3 linked regions of the Saccharomyces cerevisiae S288C genome follow. Changing the gene in region 1 together with any one later gene gives a genetic interaction. Each region holds a gene or a part of one and is shown in the gene's direction. Other genes may lie near its edges. The genes, in order: HFA1, ERG9 and CTP1.

Region 1 (11,214 bases):
CCATTGGTGTACTGTTAATAAAATATGCAGAGTTGTACAGGTCAAATGGATTACTCACGGAAATAGCACATTCGATTTTAGTACGATCTGACTCTTCTCCCAAGTAATTTGTCATTATAGATGCGCCTAACGAAAATCCCATCATATAAAACTTTCTATTCGGAAATCTTTTCCTCAAGTCATTAACACAATATCTTATATCATTGGTCCAACCACCGTTGTATAATAGCGGCGTTGTAATTGCAGAATAACAACATCCTCTAGCATTAAACACGCATGCTTCAAAGTCATACTTCGTGGTGATTTCATGAACAATTGCCCTCACGTAGCTTTCCCTCGAACCCCCTGTTAATCCATGGAGAATAATAAGCATAGGCTTAGCATCGTCTGAGTTCAATTTAGGATCATCAGGGGAATAGTACGAATATCTTCGTTTCAAGTTTCCGTTAAATACCGGTTGACTTGTCGGCACGTATTCTTTTTCCACTTTTCTTCTTTTGGTACTTCTACCATTTACAGCAAAATCCACAGTCCCTTCTCCCCCATGTGGGTATTTGATTATCATTCTTTTATATTGAACTTTGTATATATTGTCAAAGTGTCTAAAGGAACCATATGCAGTTTGTAAATGGCCATTGACCAGTAAACCATATAAAGTGTCAGTAGCACCGTCAGCTAATTCAGGAACTTTAGTATCTATTAGCTCAGGGATGGTGATCTCTTTATTTTCATTCTCTCGTTTATCGGTGGACTTGAATGCAATAGGATCCTCAGGGACCTCTTGATGAACAATCAAAAAATTAGGTAACAATTCTTTTAGACGCATATCGTCTCTGGAAGTTTACCAGCGTTTGTATAATACAGTTTTAAAATAACAAAGTAGTTGGTTTTTATCGAACTTCAAATAATTGAGACCCTTTTAAGATCCACAATACTTTTCGGGGTTAGGTAAGAAGACCCGTAAAAAAAAAAAAACGTAAACGATGCTGTACAATTAACAAATTTTTCAGGAAATAGAAGAGGTAAAAATATTGATATACGAAGTTGAGGAGCGCCAATGGTTAGCTCACTGGCATCAAATATAATTCTAGCCCTTGTGGTAGTCCTGATGACACTGCTAAGGCAAAATAAGCCGTTGCAGAGGTGGTTTGTATCATATGTTGAAAAGCTATTATCAAGAAAATCAAATCTGGCCCAAAAAGTCAGCGTTTTATCGCCCTCCTTAAAATTGGTTGATGTTGAGAAATCAATATCTGCCGATCAATCGAATCTTTCTAAAATTAATTATCAGATTCCCACTCTTCCTGATCTTACGGGGAATTTAATCCGTTTACATGAGTATCGAGCAAGAGGAGAAGGCTATAATGGCCTTTTATTTCGGAGAGCAAGACAATTAAATGGAATTTCAGAAGATCAGTTGCAAAAATTAGGCTACTTCACCAAATTAATGAAAAATAATGAGGGTATCCGAGAAAACGCAAGAGTTATTGACAAGATAATTGAGTTCACTTTAGGGAAATTGATTCATTCCAACGAACACGATGAAGAATTTACAGAGGAAATTGAAAAGATATGCGCGGAACACGGCTATAAGATTAAAGATGGTCACCTTATTCAATTGAATCCTGACTTCGTATTTCCAATAGTTTCGTCTCGAGGCAGCCAAAGTGTGGTCCATGAAGCATTAGCACATTTGTGTCGTGATTTCAGCTCTTACTATAGTGTGGAAAGAGATCCTTTACAAAATTTTATCATTAGTAGAATCAACCATCATGTGATTAGTGCCGGGGACATGAAAGAGAAAATTCTTATCGTGACCCCAGGGGCTGGTGTGGGTGGCCTATCCCATACTCTTGCCACCACTTTCCCCAAAATACAGGTGGACTCCATCGAATTATCAGCCTTGATGTACATATGTAACCTATTTGCACTCGAATATAAGCATGACGTTAAGATACGTCCTTTTGTACAACAATATTCATGCCAGACAGTGTTTGATAATCAGTTGAGAAGTTTATCGGCAGATTTGAGCAAAGTTGGCCACCGCAGTAATCTGGACCCACTATGGGGGGACTTCACACGATATTCTCCCATTTCCAAAGACTATGATAAAATTATCATTTGTAGCGCATATTTCATAGATACCGCGGAAAATATGTTTGAATATCTATCCAGTATTGAAGCACTAAAGAAATACTGTAAAGAGCTGCATTGGGTCAATGTAGGTCCATTAAAGTATGGCACCAAACCCTTGGTCCAATTTACAGGAGATGAATTAAGTCGGCTGCGTAAAATTCGCGGGTGGAAGGACCTTGTGGAGGAATATGAAGTTGATAGCTCAAAGGGATTGAATGGCTATTTAACTGATTATGAGTCAATGTATCAAGGATACTATGGTCTGCTTAAATTTCATTCTGTCTTCGAAAGCTGAATTGATACTACGAAAAATTTTTTTTTGTTTCTCTTTCTATCTTTATTACATAAAACTTCATACACAGTTAAGATTAAAAACAACTAATAAATAATGCCTATCGCAAATTAGCTTATGAAGTCCATGGTAAATTCGTGTTTCCTGGCAATAATAGATCGTCAATTTGTTGCTTTGTGGTAGTTTTATTTTCAAATAATTGGAATACTAGGGATTTGATTTTAAGATCTTTATTCAAATTTTTTGCGCTTAACAAACAGCAGCCAGTCCCACCCAAGTCTGTTTCAAATGTCTCGTAACTAAAATCATCTTGCAATTTCTTTTTGAAGCTGTCAATTTGCTCTTGAGTAATGTCTCTTCGTAACAAAGTCAAAGAGCAACCGCCGCCACCAGCACCGGTAAGTTTTGTGGAGCCAATTCTCAAATCATCGCTCAGATTTTTAATAAGTTCTAATCCAGGATGAGAAACACCGATTGAGACAAGCAGTCCATGATTTATTCTTATCAATTCCAATAGTTGTTCATACAGTTCATTATTAGTTTCTACAGCCTCGTCATCGGTGCCTTTACATTTACTTAACTTAGTCATGATCTCTAAGCCTTGTAGGGCACATTCACCCATGGCATCTAGAATTGGCTTCATAACTTCAGGAAATTTCTCGGTGACCAACACACGAACGCGAGCAACAAGATCTTTTGTAGACCTTGGAATTCTAGTATAGGTTAGGATCATTGGAATGGCTGGGAAATCATCTAAGAACTTAAAATTGTTTGTGTTTATTGTTCCATTATGTGAGTCTTTTTCAAATAGCAGGGCATTACCATAAGTGGCCACAGCGTTATCTATTCCTGAAGGGGTACCGTGAATACACTTTTCACCTATGAAGGCCCATTGATTCACTATATGCTTATCGTTTTCTGACAGCTTTTCCAAGTCATTAGATCCTATTAACCCCCCCAAGTAGGCCATAGCTAAGGCCAGTGATACAGAAATAGAGGCGCTTGAGCCCAACCCAGCACCGATGGGTAAAGTAGACTTTAAAGAAAACTTAATATTCTTGGCATGGGGGCATAGGCAAACAAACATATACAGGAAACAAAACGCTGCATGGTAGTGGAAGGATTCGGATAGTTGAGCTAACAACGGATCCAAAAGACTAACGAGTTCCTGAGACAAGCCATCGGTGGCTTGTTGAGCCTTGGCCAATTTTTGGGAGTTTACTTGATCCTCGGTGATGGCATTGAAATCATTGATGGACCACTTATGATTAAAGCTAATGTCCGGGAAGTCCAATTCAATAGTATCTGGTGCAGATGACTCGCTTATTAGCAGGTAGGTTCTCAACGCAGACACACTAGCAGCGACGGCAGGCTTGTTGTACACAGCAGAGTGTTCACCAAAAATAATAACCTTTCCCGGTGCAGAAGTTAAGAACGGTAATGACATATTGACAGTTTTCTATACGTAGATATAAATTTGCAAGTTAGGACTAAGAAGCGCACCAGCTAACCAGGAAGTAATATCATGGCTAACTAACCTTTATAGGCATATCGTTGTATCGTTCTTCGATACCCTGTCGAAGATTTCAGTGCGACAGCCAAACGAGGCCCGAAAATTGTCAGTACAATTACAACCGATAAAATACACGTTGAGACAAAACTAGCACAAAACGCCTCTTTAAACATAAATGTGTACGCATTCTGAAAGTGAGATAGAGTACAAGGCTATCGCTAGCTTTCCACGGGAGAAGTAGTAGGAACCTCTCTTTTTATTGCTTATGACAGTAATAATAGCATCATTCATCAATGTTTCCGTTAGGGTAACTAAAATGGGTGGGCGGCAGATGACAAGAAAAGATGAATAATGAAGAATGATAAAGAAGAAGTCATCTTGGGTAGAAAGGGAAGACAATTACACACGGCCAAAGCTGGGGGGCTCGCCGGATACATTCTCACTTTTACATTACCATATTCACAATTACTTGCATTCGAATAGGACAGTACAAGCTCGCGTTATATTTGGATCCTTATCGATTCTATAATATAACGGGCAGCCAGATAGTACGGTTGAAAGGACAGCGCCCTGAATACAGAAAACGCATTTTTGCCCATTCGTATAGGCATTCATCTCGAATAGGTTTGAATTTTCCATCTAGAAGAAGGTATTCCAATTATGTGGATCGAGGCAATATTCATAAACATACTCGATTACCGCCCCAGTTCATAGGGCTAAATACTGTGGAAAGTGCCCAACCTTCAATATTAAGAGATTTTGTTGATTTACGTGGTGGACATACTGTTATTTCAAAGATCTTAATAGCAAACAATGGTATTGCTGCGGTGAAAGAAATGAGATCTATAAGAAAATGGGCGTACGAGACGTTCAATGATGAAAAAATCATTCAATTCGTGGTAATGGCGACACCTGATGATTTACACGCAAATTCGGAGTATATTAGAATGGCAGACCAATATGTGCAGGTACCAGGGGGTACCAACAACAACAATTACGCCAACATAGACTTAATACTGGACGTGGCAGAGCAAACGGATGTGGATGCGGTCTGGGCTGGATGGGGCCATGCTTCTGAAAATCCGTGTCTTCCTGAGCTGTTAGCTAGTTCACAAAGGAAAATACTATTCATTGGTCCTCCTGGACGCGCTATGAGATCATTGGGTGACAAGATTTCTTCCACTATTGTAGCACAAAGCGCTAAAATCCCGTGTATCCCTTGGTCTGGTTCACATATAGACACTATCCATATCGATAACAAGACGAACTTTGTATCTGTGCCGGATGATGTATATGTAAGGGGATGTTGTTCCTCACCTGAAGATGCTTTAGAAAAGGCTAAATTAATAGGATTTCCTGTAATGATTAAGGCATCCGAAGGTGGTGGAGGTAAGGGCATTAGGCGAGTAGATAATGAGGATGATTTTATTGCATTATATCGCCAAGCAGTGAATGAGACACCTGGGTCGCCTATGTTTGTTATGAAAGTTGTCACTGATGCTCGTCACTTAGAGGTACAGTTATTAGCTGACCAATATGGCACTAACATTACATTGTTTGGGAGAGACTGTTCCATACAAAGGCGGCACCAAAAGATTATAGAAGAGGCACCAGTGACAATAACCAAGCCTGAAACGTTTCAAAGGATGGAACGCGCAGCAATTCGTCTAGGTGAATTGGTAGGTTATGTTTCTGCGGGCACTGTCGAATACTTATATTCACCAAAAGATGATAAATTTTACTTTTTAGAACTGAATCCGAGACTACAAGTAGAGCATCCAACGACAGAAATGATATCTGGCGTAAACCTTCCTGCCACTCAACTGCAAATCGCCATGGGCATTCCTATGCACATGATAAGTGATATCAGAAAACTTTATGGTTTAGATCCAACGGGAACTTCGTATATTGATTTTAAAAATTTAAAGAGACCCTCGCCAAAAGGCCATTGTATTTCATGCAGGATCACTTCAGAAGATCCTAATGAAGGTTTCAAGCCCTCCACTGGGAAAATACATGAGCTCAATTTTCGTTCTTCTTCCAATGTTTGGGGTTACTTCTCAGTAGGAAATAATGGTGCTATTCACTCATTTTCAGATTCCCAATTTGGGCACATTTTTGCTGTAGGAAACGATAGGCAAGATGCAAAGCAAAACATGGTTTTAGCTCTAAAAGATTTTTCCATCCGAGGAGAATTCAAAACCCCCATAGAGTACCTGATAGAGCTATTAGAAACTCGGGACTTTGAGAGTAATAACATATCGACTGGTTGGTTAGATGATTTGATTTTGAAAAATTTATCTTCCGATAGCAAACTAGATCCAACGCTCGCTATTATCTGTGGTGCCGCAATGAAAGCATACGTTTTCACAGAAAAGGTGAGGAATAAGTATTTGGAATTATTGCGGAGGGGCCAAGTTCCACCTAAAGATTTTCTTAAAACGAAGTTTCCTGTTGACTTCATTTTCGATAATAATAGATACTTGTTCAATGTTGCTCAATCATCTGAAGAACAATTTATTCTTTCTATCAATAAGTCTCAATGTGAAGTTAATGTTCAAAAATTGTCCAGTGACTGCTTGTTGATCTCCGTTGACGGTAAATGCCATACAGTTTATTGGAAGGACGATATCAGAGGTACAAGACTTTCGATAGACTCCAATACCATATTTTTAGAAGCTGAACTCAATCCCACTCAAGTGATCTCTCCAACTCCGGGGAAATTGGTGAAATATTTGGTCCGAAGTGGTGATCACGTTTTTGCTGGACAGCAATATGCAGAAATAGAAATAATGAAAATGCAGATGCCACTAGTAGCGAAAAGTGATGGTGTAATTGAGTTACTAAGACAGCCCGGTTCCATAATTGAGGCTGGTGATGTCATCGCAAAATTGACTTTGGATTCGCCGTCCAAAGCTAACGAATCGTCTTTATACCGCGGAGAATTACCTGTTTTAGGTCCACCGCTAATAGAGGGTAGCCGACCAAACCATAAGCTCAGAGTCTTAATAAATAGGTTAGAAAATATTCTCAATGGATATCATGAAAACTCTGGAATAGAAACTACTCTAAAAGAGTTGATAAAAATATTGAGAGATGGTAGGCTTCCTTATTCAGAATGGGATTCCCAAATTTCTACGGTACGCAATAGACTACCAAGGCAATTGAATGAGGGGCTGGGAAATCTAGTCAAGAAATCTGTTTCTTTTCCTGCAAAGGAACTGCACAAATTAATGAAGCGCTACTTGGAAGAAAATACAAATGATCATGTAGTTTATGTTGCCTTACAGCCACTTCTTAAAATTAGTGAAAGGTATAGCGAAGGTTTAGCTAATCACGAATGTGAAATTTTTTTAAAGTTGATTAAAAAGTACTATGCTGTTGAGAAAATTTTTGAAAATCATGATATACATGAAGAAAGAAACTTACTAAATCTGCGGAGGAAAGACCTTACAAACTTGAAAAAAATTTTGTGCATAAGTTTATCGCATGCTAACGTAGTCGCAAAGAACAAGTTAGTAACTGCAATATTGCATGAATACGAGCCATTGTGCCAGGATTCCTCTAAGATGTCTTTAAAATTCAGGGCTGTTATACATGATTTGGCAAGTTTGGAATCTAAGTGGGCTAAAGAGGTTGCTGTAAAGGCAAGATCAGTGCTACTCAGAGGGATTTTCCCTCCCATAAAGAAAAGAAAAGAGCATATTAAAACTCTCCTGCAATTGCACATAAAGGATACTGGTGCCGAAAACATTCACAGCAGGAACATATATTCCTGTATGAGGGATTTTGGTAATTTAATACATTCAAATCTGATACAACTTCAGGATTTGTTCTTTTTTTTTGGCCATCAAGATACGGCTCTTTCCAGTATAGCATCTGAAATTTATGCAAGGTATGCCTACGGCAATTATCAATTAAAAAGTATTAAGATTCATAAAGGAGCGCCTGATTTACTAATGTCATGGCAATTCAGCTCATTAAGAAATTATTTAGTCAATTCTGATGGTGAGAGTGATGAGTTTACAAAACTTTCTAAACCTCCCTCAACATCAGGTAAGAGCTCAGCAAATAGTTTTGGTCTTCTTGTCAACATGCGTGCGCTTGAATCTCTGGAAAAGACATTAGACGAGGTATACGAACAAATTCATATTCCTGAGGAAAGACTTTCCAGCGGAGAGAACTCTCTTATTGTTAATATTTTATCTCCTATTCGTTACAGAAGTGAAAATGATCTAATTAAAACTTTAAAAATTAAACTTCATGAAAATGAGAGAGGTCTATCCAAGCTCAAGGTTAATCGTATTACATTTGCATTTATCGCCGCGAATGCGCCCGCTGTTAAATTTTACTCCTTTGATGGAACTACGTACGATGAAATCTCTCAAATAAGAAATATGGATCCATCCTATGAAGCACCGTTAGAGTTAGGAAAAATGTCGAACTATAAAATCAGATCACTACCTACATACGATAGTAGTATACGCATTTTTGAAGGTATTAGCAAATTTACGCCGCTAGATAAAAGGTTCTTTGTCAGGAAAATCATAAATTCCTTCATGTATAATGATCAAAAAACAACCGAAGAAAACTTGAAAGCGGAAATCAATGCTCAAGTGGTTTATATGTTAGAACATCTAGGAGCAGTTGACATCTCAAATTCAGACTTGAATCATATTTTTTTAAGTTTCAATACAGTTCTTAACATACCAGTACATCGTCTCGAGGAAATTGTGAGTACAATTCTAAAGACTCACGAAACCAGATTGTTTCAAGAAAGAATCACAGATGTAGAAATTTGCATCTCTGTTGAGTGCCTAGAAACAAAGAAGCCAGCCCCGCTTAGATTACTTATTTCTAATAAATCTGGGTATGTGGTAAAAATTGAGACATATTACGAAAAGATAGGGAAAAATGGGAATCTGATTTTGGAACCGTGTAGTGAGCAGAGCCATTATAGCCAGAAATCTCTCTCTCTTCCTTACTCGGTCAAGGATTGGCTACAACCTAAAAGGTACAAAGCTCAATTCATGGGTACAACATATGTGTACGATTTCCCAGGTCTGTTTCATCAAGCTGCAATCCAACAGTGGAAAAGGTATTTTCCAAAACATAAGCTGAATGACAGTTTTTTTAGTTGGGTTGAATTGATAGAACAAAACGGTAATTTAATAAAAGTAAACAGGGAGCCAGGCCTTAATAATATAGGGATGGTTGCTTTTGAGATTATGGTTCAGACACCTGAATATCCTGAAGGGCGTAACATGATCGTGATTTCTAATGATATTACCTACAATATTGGATCTTTTGGACCGAGAGAAGATTTGTTTTTTGATAGGGTCACAAATTATGCAAGAGAGAGAGGGATCCCGAGGATATACTTGGCGGCGAATTCAGGAGCTAAATTGGGTATAGCCGAAGAGCTGATCCCTCTATTTCGTGTAGCATGGAATGACCCCTCTGATCCAACAAAGGGTTTCCAGTACTTATACTTAGCTCCAAAAGACATGCAGCTACTGAAAGATTCTGGGAAAGGAAATTCGGTTGTTGTTGAACACAAGATGGTATACGGTGAAGAGAGATATATTATTAAAGCAATAGTCGGATTCGAAGAGGGTTTAGGTGTTGAATGTTTACAGGGCTCGGGTTTAATTGCTGGTGCCACTTCGAAAGCGTATAGAGACATTTTCACTATTACTGCTGTTACTTGTCGGTCCGTTGGTATAGGTTCCTATCTGGTCAGACTAGGACAACGTACTATTCAGGTGGAGGATAAGCCTATCATACTGACGGGTGCATCGGCGATTAATAAAGTTTTGGGTACCGATATCTATACATCTAACCTACAAATTGGCGGAACCCAAATCATGTATAAAAACGGAATAGCGCATTTAACAGCCAGTAATGATATGAAAGCCATCGAAAAAATAATGACATGGTTATCATATGTCCCGGCGAAAAGAGATATGAGTCCTCCACTTCTTGAAACTATGGATAGATGGGATAGGGATGTAGACTTCAAACCTGCCAAGCAAGTGCCATATGAGGCAAGGTGGTTGATAGAGGGTAAATGGGACTCAAATAACAACTTCCAGTCAGGCCTATTTGATAAGGATTCGTTTTTTGAGACATTATCTGGATGGGCCAAAGGTGTAATAGTTGGAAGAGCACGTCTTGGAGGTATTCCCGTGGGTGTTATTGCGGTAGAAACTAAGACTATCGAAGAAATAATCCCCGCTGACCCAGCTAATCTGGATTCTTCAGAGTTTTCCGTTAAAGAAGCAGGACAGGTGTGGTATCCAAATTCCGCGTTCAAAACAGCTCAAACTATAAATGATTTTAACTATGGTGAGCAATTACCATTGATTATCTTAGCCAATTGGAGGGGATTTTCTGGCGGTCAAAGGGATATGTACAATGAAGTACTAAAGTACGGGTCTTTTATTGTTGACGCTCTGGTTGACTACAAACAACCCATACTGATATACATTCCGCCCTTTGGTGAATTAAGGGGCGGATCATGGGTTGTTATAGATCCAACTATTAATCCTGAACAAATGGAAATGTATGCCGATGTTGAATCTAGGGGAGGTGTGTTAGAACCTGACGGAGTAGTTAGCATAAAATACCGTAAGGAGAAAATGATAGAGACGATGATTCGATTAGACTCCACATATGGACATTTGAGAAGAACGTTGACAGAAAAAAAGTTATCTTTGGAAAAACAAAATGATCTTACGAAGAGATTGAAAATAAGAGAGAGACAGTTGATACCAATTTACAATCAAATCAGCATACAGTTTGCAGATTTACATGATAGATCGACTAGGATGCTAGTTAAAGGAGTAATCCGAAATGAGTTGGAATGGAAAAAGTCACGCAGATTTTTATATTGGAGACTGAGAAGGAGGTTGAACGAGGGACAAGTGATCAAAAGACTGCAAAAAAAAACATGTGATAACAAAACGAAAATGAAGTACGACGACCTGTTGAAAATAGTTCAGTCATGGTATAACGATCTGGATGTTAATGATGACAGAGCAGTAGTGGAGTTCATAGAAAGAAATTCGAAAAAAATTGACAAGAACATTGAAGAGTTTGAGATCTCGCTGTTGATCGATGAGCTTAAGAAAAAATTTGAAGACAGAAGGGGAAACATTGTCCTTGAAGAGCTAACTAGGTTGGTGGACAGTAAGCGAAAGAGATAGTTTCGGTATAGGAACAAGTAAGTTAAATAGCCGCTTAGATACCATAATGGTGGCCGAAAAGAGAA
Region 2 (6,687 bases), on another chromosome or scaffold:
ACCTAACCAAGTTTGCAGGTCATACAAAGATACCGGAATATATTGTGTATAACCTCTGTTGAAAACCCAAATTTCACCTGATTTTGTAGGCTTAGGCACACCATGTCCGTTGTAGTGGAAAAGTATCCTATCTTCCTTAGAAGTTCTTCTTAGCGAGTTGCAAAACCGTTTGACATCCTCTACACAAGGATCCAAGCTTTGTTTATAGCGTGTTCTCAAAGACAGAGTTTCGTACTGTGCTTGTAAGTTTTTACCAATTTGTTCTATTGCTTTCTTCGAGTCCTGGAAATTCAATGGGTCTACCCATGCTTCAACTCTGGCACAGGGATGTGTCTTCATAACATCAGGGGGATCGACACCTAAATTCAAGCATAATAAAAGGGCCGCACTTACTGTCTTCTGTCGATCTTTCATAATCTTCCAATCGGTAATCGGCTGGTAATAACGATTTACATCTCGTTGTTTATCCTCTTCAGGAATCGGATTTCCATTAGTTTTGTGTCGTTTATCATCAAAGTAGAATATGAAATCATTCGCGAGTGATTGTAAAAGTTGGTCACTTTGGTATTGCTCTTCAAACCCATGTCTCATCACCGTATTGAGTGGCTTTAATGGCTGAGGTCCATAAATCTCCGGCATTATGTATCTTTTACCCTTCTCTGCATGCAATAGGATTCGCTAAATGTAATCAAAGGAATCTACAAACCAAATGCATTCGAAAATAACTTTACAAGTTTTAAAATCCTCTATATACTTATGTAAAGTACTACCTATTGATGATTTATTAAAGTATTTTTGATACTATTAATGCTGCCTTGATTATCATCTCATAGTGCGGGTCACCTTGAAAAATCCAAATATAAGAAGCGATGCCATTATAACCTCTGGAGAATGATAACTTAAGAGCTTTTTAATAGCTCCAACCCAAGCTATTGCTACAGGTAGAACAAGATATAATGGCCAGTTCGTCACATAACCCTGTCATTCTTTTGAAAAGAATCTTATCGCTCACAGAAAGCTCCCCTTTCATTTTGTGCTTAGATTCTATTGCCCAGACCTCATACAAGCTCATCCAAGAATTCGTCCACCAGAGCAAGAGTAAAGGAAATGAGTATCCAATTGTGTACATTTCGTTCGAAACAGTGAATAAACCATCGTACTGTACTCAATTTATTGACGCTACGCAGATGGATTTTGTACATTTAGTGAAACAAATTATATCATATCTACCGGCTGCTACTGCCACACAGGCAAAAAAGCACATGGTCATTATCGATTCATTGAACTATATTTCTACAGAATACATAACAAGGTTTTTGTCTGAGATCGCCTCTCCTCACTGCACGATGGTTGCGACTTATCATAAAGACATCAAAGATGAGAACCGTACGGTAATACCTGATTGGAATAACAATTATCCTGATAAGTTGACTTTACTGCAGTTTATGGCCACTACAATAGTAGATATTGATGTGGTATTAACAGGCACTCTCGATACTGAGGAGGTGAGTGAATTGTTAAACGAATTTAGAATTCCTCGCGGGTTAAATAACGATATATTTCAATTACGACTTGTTAATAAAAGAAAGTCCGGCAGGTCATTGGAATACGACTTCATAGTAAATTCAAACACCCACGAATATGAATTATTATCAACCACTAAGCAAGAAGAGGAGAGCAGTAGTAACGGACTGGAGACACCCGAAATGTTGCAAGGATTAACAACATTCAACCTAGGAACATCCAACAAACAGAAGCTGGCCAAAGATCAAGTCGCATTGCCTTTTCTGGAGGCACAAAGCTTTGGACAAGGGGGTGCTATTGTTTATGAGTACGAAAAGGATGACGATTATGATGAAGAGGATCCATATGAGGATCCCTTTTAAAAAGTAGAAACTGATGGTAAATAGTGAGTGCTTCCAGATTATGTAAACTACGTATACTTCATACACATATCTAGATGCTAGATTGTTAGTCTGTTTTAGTCTTTTTTTTCCCTAGGAACTTTTCCTTTAGCTTTAGCAATTTGTATTTTAAGCCAGATTGCAACGTAATCTTATCGGCCTCTTCGACGGTGACCATTCTCTTCACCATCAAATTGTATAGCATACCGAATATGAGTCCCATGATTGTAGATGTTAGAATGATGACGTTATACGGCATACTAAAATCCGGTGTAGACAGGGATAACAATAGGGTAGAGGTTCTCATTTCATAAAGAGACGATGAGGACTCCAAAGATAGCACGGTGATTACAGCTGCATCGATTTCAAAACCATGGTTTGCATCTGGTGGATACTCGGCAAATTGCAGAAGAGCTTTATCGAATTGATAAGTCATTACAATGTCCGTATTAGCTGGAATTAACATCGTGAACTCCAAGTGGCCAGGTCTTTTTCTATCGGCCGCTTGTAAATAGTATTTATCTAAGATGATATCGTTTTCTTGCAATTGCGGAGAGGTAGTAGAAGTAATTTGAAGAGAGGATAGGTAAACTCTCATGAACCATGGCAATGATTCGAAATAAATCAACTTCACAGGGGTATCATTGTCGTTATGGAAAACAATACGCATTCCACCACGATCTTGTCCATTACCAGTCAGAGATCTGCTTACGTGAATTGGGACAGGAACTATGGGAGTAACTTTAGTAGTGTCCGTCGATTCTAAAATAAAGTCGTAGCCCGAACCACCCTCATTTTGATCGTTTGATAAGTCAAAGCAATTATCATGTGTGCTGAAAATAGTATCGTCAACTGACAAAAACGCAGTCCAGGTAGAACGGTCAACTTCTGCACAAATTCTTGTGGGCCTATTAGCAAACAGGTTGCCATTGTTTATTGGTCTGGCAAACAGCTGAGACAGCTTGAAGTGAGTCTGCGAAGGTTCCGGTAGAGGGAAGCATTGGTAAGAATCAAAGGGTTTATCCGTGTCACAACGCAATGTGTTCCCATCCAAAGGTTTGGGGATAGGTCTCTCACCTCTTGCCAAGGCGGAGGGAACGTGTGTTACCATTTCTATGCGTGCGTCCATCTCGTAGTGACAAAGAGCATCTTCATCTTCAGAACAAATAGTGGCAATATCCAAGGAAATACTATTCCATAGAGAGTCGAACAATTTATGACCATCCAAGAGAGATGTCAAACCGGATTTGCCCCTAGTAGGCAATAGTTTTATGAACGGCGTCAAGTTCTCGGTACAGATGGGTTCATTGGGCAACGATGCTCGCATCAGGTACAGTTTCTCGGTGCTATTGAAAAGAGGAGCTCCTATATCAGAAGCATATGACCGCCGGGGAAAGGTCGTCCTTGACTCGTCGATAAAATTTAAAGAAGAACAAAACAATCCGCTCAATGAATTGGACAGTTTTTTCCAATTATGGAACGCCTGTTCCTGATCCATGGCCTGCACTTGCGACCACAATTCCACACCTGAGGCACCTGCCTCTTTTCCAGCATGTGGCAACTGTCCCCACGACAGGGCATCCCAGAATCCTCTGGTAAATCTTAAATGAAACTGACGCGTGGCAGTAGATTCCAACAATGGTGGGATGGCCCGTGGGAAAGTCGTGTAGTGCTCATACGCATCATATGACATGGATGATACGGCCGGGTCAAACGGTTCCGATTGCAGTTGGAATGCAAATGAGAGTAGCAGATCATTGTTGGGCAGCGGCTTCAACACCAGTGCTTCGTCGTACGGATACCATAAACTGTCATTTATACCAATCTGCGACACCGTGTCTTCTGCGAACACACCCAGTAGTAGAGTGCCCAGCATGAAATAGGCCAGTGTGAGGATCATCGTCGTCTTGCCTATGCTTTGTTTGCTTTGAACACTTGTTTCCGCTCTCCTTTTACTTATTGGCTACTAAAACTACGTGTAAAAGATCGCCCAGCGCAAAAAGGTCCGGCGGTTTCAAATAATCTCGAACTATTCCTATAATATGCAAAATAGTAGGTAGGAACAAGTCGACTCTAGGCAGATAAGGAAGATGTCCGGTAAATGGAGACTAGTGCTGACCGGGATAGGCAATCCAGAGCCTCAGTACGCTGGTACCCGTCACAATGTAGGGCTATATATGCTGGAGCTGCTACGAAAGCGGCTTGGTCTGCAGGGGAGAACTTATTCCCCTGTGCCTAATACGGGCGGCAAAGTGCATTATATAGAAGACGAACATTGTACGATACTAAGATCGGATGGCCAGTACATGAATCTAAGTGGAGAACAGGTGTGCAAGGTCTGGGCCCGGTACGCCAAGTACCAAGCCCGACACGTAGTTATTCATGACGAGTTAAGTGTGGCGTGTGGAAAAGTGCAGCTCAGAGCCCCCAGCACCAGTATTAGAGGTCATAATGGGCTGCGAAGCCTGCTAAAATGCAGTGGAGGCCGTGTACCCTTTGCCAAATTGGCTATTGGAATCGGCAGAGAACCTGGGTCCCGTTCTAGAGACCCTGCGAGCGTGTCCCGGTGGGTTCTGGGAGCTCTAACTCCGCAGGAACTACAAACCTTGCTTACACAGAGTGAACCTGCTGCCTGGCGTGCTCTGACTCAGTACATTTCATAGCCCATCTTCAACAACAATACCGACTTACCATCCTATTTGCTTTGCCCTTTTTCTTTTCCACTGCACTTTGCATCGGAAGGCGTTATCGGTTTTGGGTTTAGTGCCTAAACGAGCAGCGAGAACACGACCACGGGCTATATAAATGGAAAGTTAGGACAGGGGCAAAGAATAAGAGCACAGAAGAAGAGAAAAGACGAAGAGCAGAAGCGGAAAACGTATACACGTCACATATCACACACACACAATGGGAAAGCTATTACAATTGGCATTGCATCCGGTCGAGATGAAGGCAGCTTTGAAGCTGAAGTTTTGCAGAACACCGCTATTCTCCATCTATGATCAGTCCACGTCTCCATATCTCTTGCACTGTTTCGAACTGTTGAACTTGACCTCCAGATCGTTTGCTGCTGTGATCAGAGAGCTGCATCCAGAATTGAGAAACTGTGTTACTCTCTTTTATTTGATTTTAAGGGCTTTGGATACCATCGAAGACGATATGTCCATCGAACACGATTTGAAAATTGACTTGTTGCGTCACTTCCACGAGAAATTGTTGTTAACTAAATGGAGTTTCGACGGAAATGCCCCCGATGTGAAGGACAGAGCCGTTTTGACAGATTTCGAATCGATTCTTATTGAATTCCACAAATTGAAACCAGAATATCAAGAAGTCATCAAGGAGATCACCGAGAAAATGGGTAATGGTATGGCCGACTACATCTTAGATGAAAATTACAACTTGAATGGGTTGCAAACCGTCCACGACTACGACGTGTACTGTCACTACGTAGCTGGTTTGGTCGGTGATGGTTTGACCCGTTTGATTGTCATTGCCAAGTTTGCCAACGAATCTTTGTATTCTAATGAGCAATTGTATGAAAGCATGGGTCTTTTCCTACAAAAAACCAACATCATCAGAGATTACAATGAAGATTTGGTCGATGGTAGATCCTTCTGGCCCAAGGAAATCTGGTCACAATACGCTCCTCAGTTGAAGGACTTCATGAAACCTGAAAACGAACAACTGGGGTTGGACTGTATAAACCACCTCGTCTTAAACGCATTGAGTCATGTTATCGATGTGTTGACTTATTTGGCCGGTATCCACGAGCAATCCACTTTCCAATTTTGTGCCATTCCCCAAGTTATGGCCATTGCAACCTTGGCTTTGGTATTCAACAACCGTGAAGTGCTACATGGCAATGTAAAGATTCGTAAGGGTACTACCTGCTATTTAATTTTGAAATCAAGGACTTTGCGTGGCTGTGTCGAGATTTTTGACTATTACTTACGTGATATCAAATCTAAATTGGCTGTGCAAGATCCAAATTTCTTAAAATTGAACATTCAAATCTCCAAGATCGAACAGTTTATGGAAGAAATGTACCAGGATAAATTACCTCCTAACGTGAAGCCAAATGAAACTCCAATTTTCTTGAAAGTTAAAGAAAGATCCAGATACGATGATGAATTGGTTCCAACCCAACAAGAAGAAGAGTACAAGTTCAATATGGTTTTATCTATCATCTTGTCCGTTCTTCTTGGGTTTTATTATATATACACTTTACACAGAGCGTGAAGTCTGCGCCAAATAACATAAACAAACAACTCCGAACAATAACTAAGTACTTACATAATAGGTAGAGGCCTATCCTTAAAGATAACCTTATATTTCATTACATCAACTAATTCGACCTTATTATCTTTCGAATTGAAATGCATTATACCCATCGGTACGTCTAGCTTTGTCACCTTCCCCAGTAAACGCTGTTTCTTGCCGACAAACAATGTGGCCCTCTCTCCGTCAATCTGTAACGACCCAAATCGTATTAAAGTTTCGCCGTCCTGTTCACTGAACCTTCCCTCATTTGGAGAATCTCTCCTCGCCAGCGACGCAAAGTCCTTAGGCAACTCTAGTTCACCTTGAATCTCCAGCATCATCATCCCAAGCGGTGTTATCACCGTGGTCTGCTTTTCTCTTGACTGTGTCAACTTCTGCCATTGACTAGCATCTATATCTACACTAGGCATTCTTTTCAGCTGTTTATTGGGCTGAATGATAGTGATAATTCTTTTTTCTATCACTCCTTTGGCTATATTAGTGGTTAGCTTACTAAAAA
Region 3 (6,377 bases), on another chromosome or scaffold:
ATAACATCTATGTCCCTGAGTATTTTTCCGGGATTTTGGAATATGCTAGAATTTTGACGATTATATTCTTTCTGATTAGGTACATAATAATTCATTAATATGGAACTAATCACAGATATGGGTACTTGGATGAGAAAACACCACCTCCAACCAATGCTCGACGCTATTGTGCCACCGAAAGACGCTCCACATATGGCACCAAATCCCAAAAGTAAATTCTGAAACGCTTGAAAAATTCCTCTTTTCGAACTTGGAATAACGTCTGAATTTACGATTGTAGAAAGTGTGATCAAGCCACCACCTCCTATGCCTGTCAATGCTCTCATAAAACTAAGCATGTAGATGTTTTTCGAGAAACCACAGGCTAGACATCCAATGGTAAAAGCCCCATTAGCAAAGAAAAGGCAGTTTCTTCGACCAAGTGCATCAGAAAATGACCCATAAAGAGGTTGAAAAGATGTTGATGTAATTAAATACGCAGTGGTGATCCAATTTGAAATACTCATCTGATTAAATTCGTTACCAATCGTTTGGTACGTCGAAGCTGTAACGGTTCCGTCAAAACCGGACAAAAAGACATTAGAAAAAAGAGTAGCTTCAATAATCCATCAATTTGGGATTCTTGAAAGCGCTATATCTTCGCCTTTGTCCAAGTCCTCATCTAAGTCTTCACTGTAGTCGACAGAAGGAATTTCAGTCTCTTCAATACTGCCATAGTTTCCATCCTTGCTTTTCGGTAGTACTTTGTGTTTACTAGATTTAAGCATTGCGAAAAAAAATCTGATTTGGAATTAATGTTTCATTTACTACATTTTAAAGCATTTTGTACCATTCAGAGGCAAGAATTGGCCAATACTGTGTGTTCTTATAACGATAACTAGTATATATATTCTCGAAATTGTATATTTCTGTGGATTTGCACACAATCATCTAATAGCAAATTAGGAAGAAAGCCACACATGCACATATATCGCATCACTTACCGAGCCTTAGAATGTGGTTGCCACACATTAGGACATGTTACCCCCCGCACCTAGCAGAAATATAGTATTAATCTATCAGTGCTCAACACAATGTGATATCAGTACAATTCTTCATGCCATGGTACGTCGTCTCTATTTTCTTTTATATTCTGTTTATTATATCATGTTCTAAAAATGTCATATATACAATTCTGAAAAGGTTTTTGACCCTTACGTAACGCTATTCGGTCAACTACTTGTGAGACATATATTGTTCAAATATGTAAATGAAGAAAAGTACGCCTATTACTAGGATCCACAATACCGTAAAGCCTGTTAAACAAGGAGGAACAATATATATATCATAATTTTTTTAGAAAGAAAAGCCAAAGAAACAGCATTTGCAGGCACAAATCCGTGATAATAATGCATAGAACAATATGTGAAACCCCACAAGGTTACTGGTCGGATGATGAGCGAGCCCAGAGAAACCAACAGACCTCTGTAAACATCACTATGCCTTATCACCACACTTTACCATAATGCATTGAAAGTGCAATTGGAGAAGCCACCAATAGACGAGCTATGATGATATATTTAGCGTCCCTTAAAATATCGACTTATACAGTGGATAACATTTCCGCTCGCATTCCTCGAAGAGCATTATTTCCAAACTACTGTTGAAAAAAAAAAAATACGAAGACGACGCTTACCTGAGCACCCAGGATGTACACTTCGCCACAAATTTTGAGAGGCCTTTTGTTGTGATATTAGTTGAAATATATAACCACTTAATCAGGCAAAAAGACAGCAGTCACTATTTCAAGTTGGTAAAAAAATCCTGTTTTCGCTAATTGTCGATTTGGCCTTTCACCTGGACTTGAAAGCTTCAATTACGGCCTGATACATTCATTCTTTATACTGACCTTTGCCCAATTTATTATCCAGAACTATAGCCATTAGGTTGCAGGCCACTGGGACCACCACTGACTGGAAAATATTCTATTGACGAATTTTCCGCAACTCATCGCTGATTAGTTTATGAACTTATCCCGTCGGAATGAGAAAGTTACATATGCAGGAATTCTCTACAAGCAGCAATAACATGCTTTTATTTTACTGTCGTATTGTAATTGCTTATTCGGTTCCAAACATGTCAGCTATGCCAATATTTTAGAAGAGTGGGAAAAAAAAGAGATGTTATAGACGAACGACAAAAGTTGTGAAAAACTCGAATGGAGTAATGGAGCAAGAAACAAGAATCTGTCATAGTCAATACGTGATTTTGATATGCTTTCAAGCTTCTGAGAACTTCATTCATTACACTCCACCACATATACTATACAACGAATAGCCCAGTCGAAGAGGTTATGATTGTGTTCATTTATTTTTTTACATGACAGAGTCTCCCTATTGATACTAAGCTTGCTGCAATAACTCTTCTTACTAAGAGGTAACTTACATCTTGACTTTTTAATGAAGTTCCCAGCCGATTACCATTATACGTCGCCGTTTCGTTCATGTAAATATTCAAATATACTACACTTTATATCTTTGCTTCTTATATTTTCGCGCGTAGGTTTGCCTAATTACATTTTTATATTCCTCATCAATAAAGCCGCCAACAAAGAGCACAGGGTAGAAACTCTGCTGTCTGGGAACTCGGCTAACGCTTGTAAGCTATTTAATATTCTCAAATCATTTCAACACCTCTTTTTTTTTTTTCAAATATGTACTATTTTCTCTATTTCCATTAAGTTAGTCTTACTGAAGAGTCAAGAATATGGAAGAATTCCTGCGGAATTTTCAATTATTAGAAGTGAAAAAAAAAAAAAAGAAGAACAATGAAATTTAGTCTCACTTTAGCGTGATATATAAAACGTAAAATGTCGAAGCCAACGTAAAATTAAAAACATTTTGATGTCACAATGAAAGAACTCCAAAGTAGAGCTTGAATTATAAATTAGCATTTTACCGATGTCCAGTAAAGCTACCAAAAGTGACGTAGATCCATTGCACTCGTTTCTGGCAGGGTCCCTAGCCGGTGCTGCTGAAGCATGTATAACATATCCTTTTGAGTTTGCCAAAACAAGGCTGCAGCTGATTGATAAGGCCTCCAAGGCATCAAGAAATCCTCTGGTATTGATATATAAAACTGCAAAAACTCAGGGCATTGGTTCCATTTATGTCGGATGTCCCGCATTTATTATTGGAAACACCGCTAAGGCGGGTATTAGATTTCTTGGCTTTGATACCATTAAAGACATGCTAAGAGATAGTGAAACTGGAGAACTAAGTGGTACAAGAGGGGTGATAGCTGGGTTAGGTGCGGGACTATTAGAAAGTGTTGCCGCAGTGACTCCTTTTGAAGCAATCAAAACTGCTTTGATCGATGATAAACAATCTGCTACACCAAAATACCATAATAATGGGCGCGGTGTAGTACGAAACTATTCATCATTAGTCCGTGATAAAGGATTTTCTGGTCTTTATCGTGGTGTTTTGCCAGTTTCCATGAGACAGGCCGCAAACCAAGCCGTTAGATTGGGTTGTTACAATAAGATTAAGACCTTGATCCAAGATTATACGGATTCGCCAAAAGACAAACCTTTATCATCCGGGTTAACCTTCTTAGTGGGTGCATTTAGTGGTATTGTGACGGTCTATTCCACCATGCCCCTTGATACTGTGAAAACAAGAATGCAAAGTTTGGATTCCACCAAATACTCCTCTACAATGAATTGTTTTGCAACCATTTTCAAAGAAGAAGGGTTAAAGACGTTTTGGAAAGGTGCTACGCCTAGACTTGGGAGATTGGTCTTGAGTGGTGGTATTGTTTTCACTATCTATGAAAAGGTCTTAGTTATGCTAGCCTGAAATGTATTATTGTGTACAATATATCATCTAATGTTTTCTACTCGTTATAAGTCTATTTACCAGCCGATCACTTAAAAAAGTTATATATCTCTTTTTATCATAATGAAGAAGATGGCTTATGCTTGATTTTGACTTTGGTTGAGGTATTTCTTTTCCAATTTTTTGACTTGAATGTAGTCGTATATACTCTTCAGGGTGATAAATAGCCCAAGAAATGCCACAAAAACAGCCAACCATGGTATGTTTTGTTTTTCTTCATCCAGACCGTGATTCAAATGTGATTCAAATTTATCTTGTGTCGTTGATTGTGAATTTAGACGAACATCATCGAATTCATTTGGATCCTCTAATTCCATTCTATTTAAGCTTTTATTTTTGCCGACTTTTGAAGTAACATCATTGGGAATCATTGAATAACCATATCCAATGAACGTTAACCCTAATCCAAACCTTGAACCTTGCTTTGCTGCGTGAGATGTGTGTAAAATGTAGGTTATTAAAAATCCAATGAACTGAAAACTCGTGCTTACGATGATATTCCATAATAAATTTGCTATATTTCCTACAGGAAGCCCCTCAATGCATATTTCGTCGTAGTAGATATCTGAATTGTTCAAATCCATTCCATAATACGAGGGGGCCATATCAGCAGCAGCTTCGTCGTATGTAGGTGGTATGTCTTGTTCGTTATTACCTTCAGTCTCTGTGGTATCTGGTTTTGCGCTTAAATTGCTAAAGACACCATCAAACATGGCACCTTGTTGTATATCCGAAGACTGTTGTGTACGTTTCTTAAAAAGTCTATCAAGAATATTAAAATGTCTTCCTATTTTTCCTATATGTCTGGCTGCTTGTTCCCTCAGCTGGTGTGGTACTAGTCTTTCTGTCGTACTATTTCCTCCACTGCTGCTTCCCTCGTCCTCTATGCTATCTTCCTCGTCAGACCCTATTTCCGTTTCCCCTTCTACGCCAGTTTGTGTGTCTCTAGTTCGTCCTGCGTTTCCGACATTTATGCCATCAGTAGATGAACCTGCATGAAGTGTATTCATTTCTTGCCCTATAAGTAGTTCTTGCTCTGGCATAGCGCTTAGTTTCCTAGACTACGTGTTCTTGTTATTCTCATGCTCTTTTTATGTATCTAAATTGGAAGATTTTTATAAAGGTTATGTACTATTCTTCTAAAAAAAGTAGGCGCAAAGGGACTCCGCATCGTATAACACGATGATAATACAAATTCTTCCACGGTTATTTACATCTCCGGTATATTTTATATATGTGTATATATTTTCTATGTATTCTGTGTGTTATTGTTACTGCTACCATTATTGCTATTAGTCAACAATGTCGCTTCGCTATCATGTGGTGCTACTGGAGGTGCTATAGGAAGACTAGGTGTAGGTACCGATTTACTAGCTGCCCCACCTGGGATTACTGGCTGCAGTGTGGGATTGGGTGAATTAGTAACAGTGTGATTGGCAATCGGGTTTGGGATTGAAGGTATCGTCACACCAGCGCGAATGTTACTATTCAGCTTAGTTTTCAGCGATTCTGGACTCGGAAGCATTGCATTGGTGCCACTACTTGTGTCATTGGGCGCTGCTGCGAACTCTTCTTTTGTATTAACTTTCCCAGGCAGTTTAATAGAAAGTAGTAGCGAATGACCCGGAATATGGTCAATAATATAACAAGGAGGTGAAACTGGCTTAGGTCTATCTGGCCTGCTTTTATAAGTGGTTGTGTTTCTCAATTCGTACGATTCCACAGAAGGGCCTACGTCAACACCACCAGGCATTAAAGTGCTAGGTACTGGAGTCCTGAAAGTTCTTGGAATATCTGCAATATCTGGCAGTAAAATCTCTCCTGGTGGCAACGATGAAGCATTTCCTGCTGCTACTGTGTTGTGAACGCCGTTCATAGATGTATTACTTGCAGATGTGCCGGACAATGCGAGCATACCACGTCTATTAGATCTACCTTGTCTTCTTTTCCTTCTTGTGTCTCTGTCCTTATCTTTATCCAATCTCTCTAACTCTGCAGCTGAAATCTGTAATAGGTTTGGAGTAAAAATTTTGCTTTCCGCTGCAGGCCTATAAACATCATCAAGAGTAATCGTTGGGAGCATTCTGCTTCTAATGTCATCATCTTCTATCGCTGATCCATCAAAATTGTAACCTAACAGTGCCAGTGATTTATGATACATATGAACTTGCTCTCTTATGGAGTGAGCAATGGCAGTCACAAACTCACCTGGTAGTTCTAATTCTTGACACATGGACTCTGCAAACTCTTCTGGACAGTTATCACTATTAGAGATGTCCCACTCAAATTGATCGATTAACTGGTTTTGTCCCACGACAATATCCAGCTTGATTCTAATTCTCAAGTCATCACCGCCTAGACGGTCCTGATTCAACTCTATATATGGATTTCCTTGAAACTCCTGAATCTGCTCTTGTATAGATTGACAAATAGTATCAATGTGTTGCTCTCTCGTAGCGTCCTCAAATCGGTAATCTCGCAACATGTCGTCCACAAAGT

The links.
Region 2: of HFA1 (region 1) and ERG9, changing one enhances a phenotype caused by changing the other (phenotypic enhancement), as found in Saccharomyces cerevisiae (one study listed by BioGRID).
Region 3: mutations in HFA1 (region 1) and CTP1 together harm fitness more than expected from each alone (negative genetic interaction), as found in Saccharomyces cerevisiae (2 studies listed by BioGRID).

Annotation. Positions count from the first base shown.
Region 1 is NC_001145.3:677,128-688,341, reverse strand, and holds HFA1 (acetyl-CoA carboxylase HFA1), read left to right. Parts: upstream 1-4,777; coding exon 4,778-11,149; downstream 11,150-11,214. Other genes in the region: MGL2 (putative carboxylic ester hydrolase), read right to left, coding at 1-826; YMR209C (uncharacterized protein), read left to right, coding at 1,058-2,431; ERG12 (mevalonate kinase), read right to left, coding at 2,544-3,875. UniProt on the Saccharomyces cerevisiae protein: Catalyzes the rate-limiting reaction in the mitochondrial fatty acid synthesis (FAS) type II pathway. Responsible for the production of the mitochondrial malonyl-CoA, used for the biosynthesis of the cofactor lipoic acid.
Region 2 is NC_001140.6:480,034-486,720, forward strand, and holds ERG9 (bifunctional farnesyl-diphosphate farnesyltransferase/squalene synthase), read left to right. Parts: upstream 1-4,811; coding exon 4,812-6,146; downstream 6,147-6,687. Other genes in the region: ubiquitin-binding TORC1 subunit KOG1, read right to left, coding at 1-639; Elongator subunit IKI1, read left to right, coding at 957-1,886; GPI-anchor transamidase subunit GPI16, read right to left, coding at 1,972-3,804; PTH1 (aminoacyl-tRNA hydrolase), read left to right, coding at 3,995-4,567; CTF8 (Ctf8p), read right to left, coding at 6,197-6,598. UniProt on the Saccharomyces cerevisiae protein: Squalene synthase; part of the third module of ergosterol biosynthesis pathway that includes the late steps of the pathway. ERG9 produces squalene from 2 farnesyl pyrophosphate moieties.
Region 3 is NC_001134.8:781,135-787,511, reverse strand, and holds CTP1 (Ctp1p), read left to right. Parts: upstream 1-2,939; coding exon 2,940-3,839; downstream 3,840-6,377. Other genes in the region: VBA2 (Vba2p), read right to left, coding at 1-506; YBR292C (uncharacterized protein), read left to right, coding at 2,439-2,810; BSD2 (Bsd2p), read right to left, coding at 3,956-4,921; SNF5 (Snf5p), read right to left, coding at 5,128-6,377. UniProt on the Saccharomyces cerevisiae protein: Transport of citrate across inner mitochondrial membrane.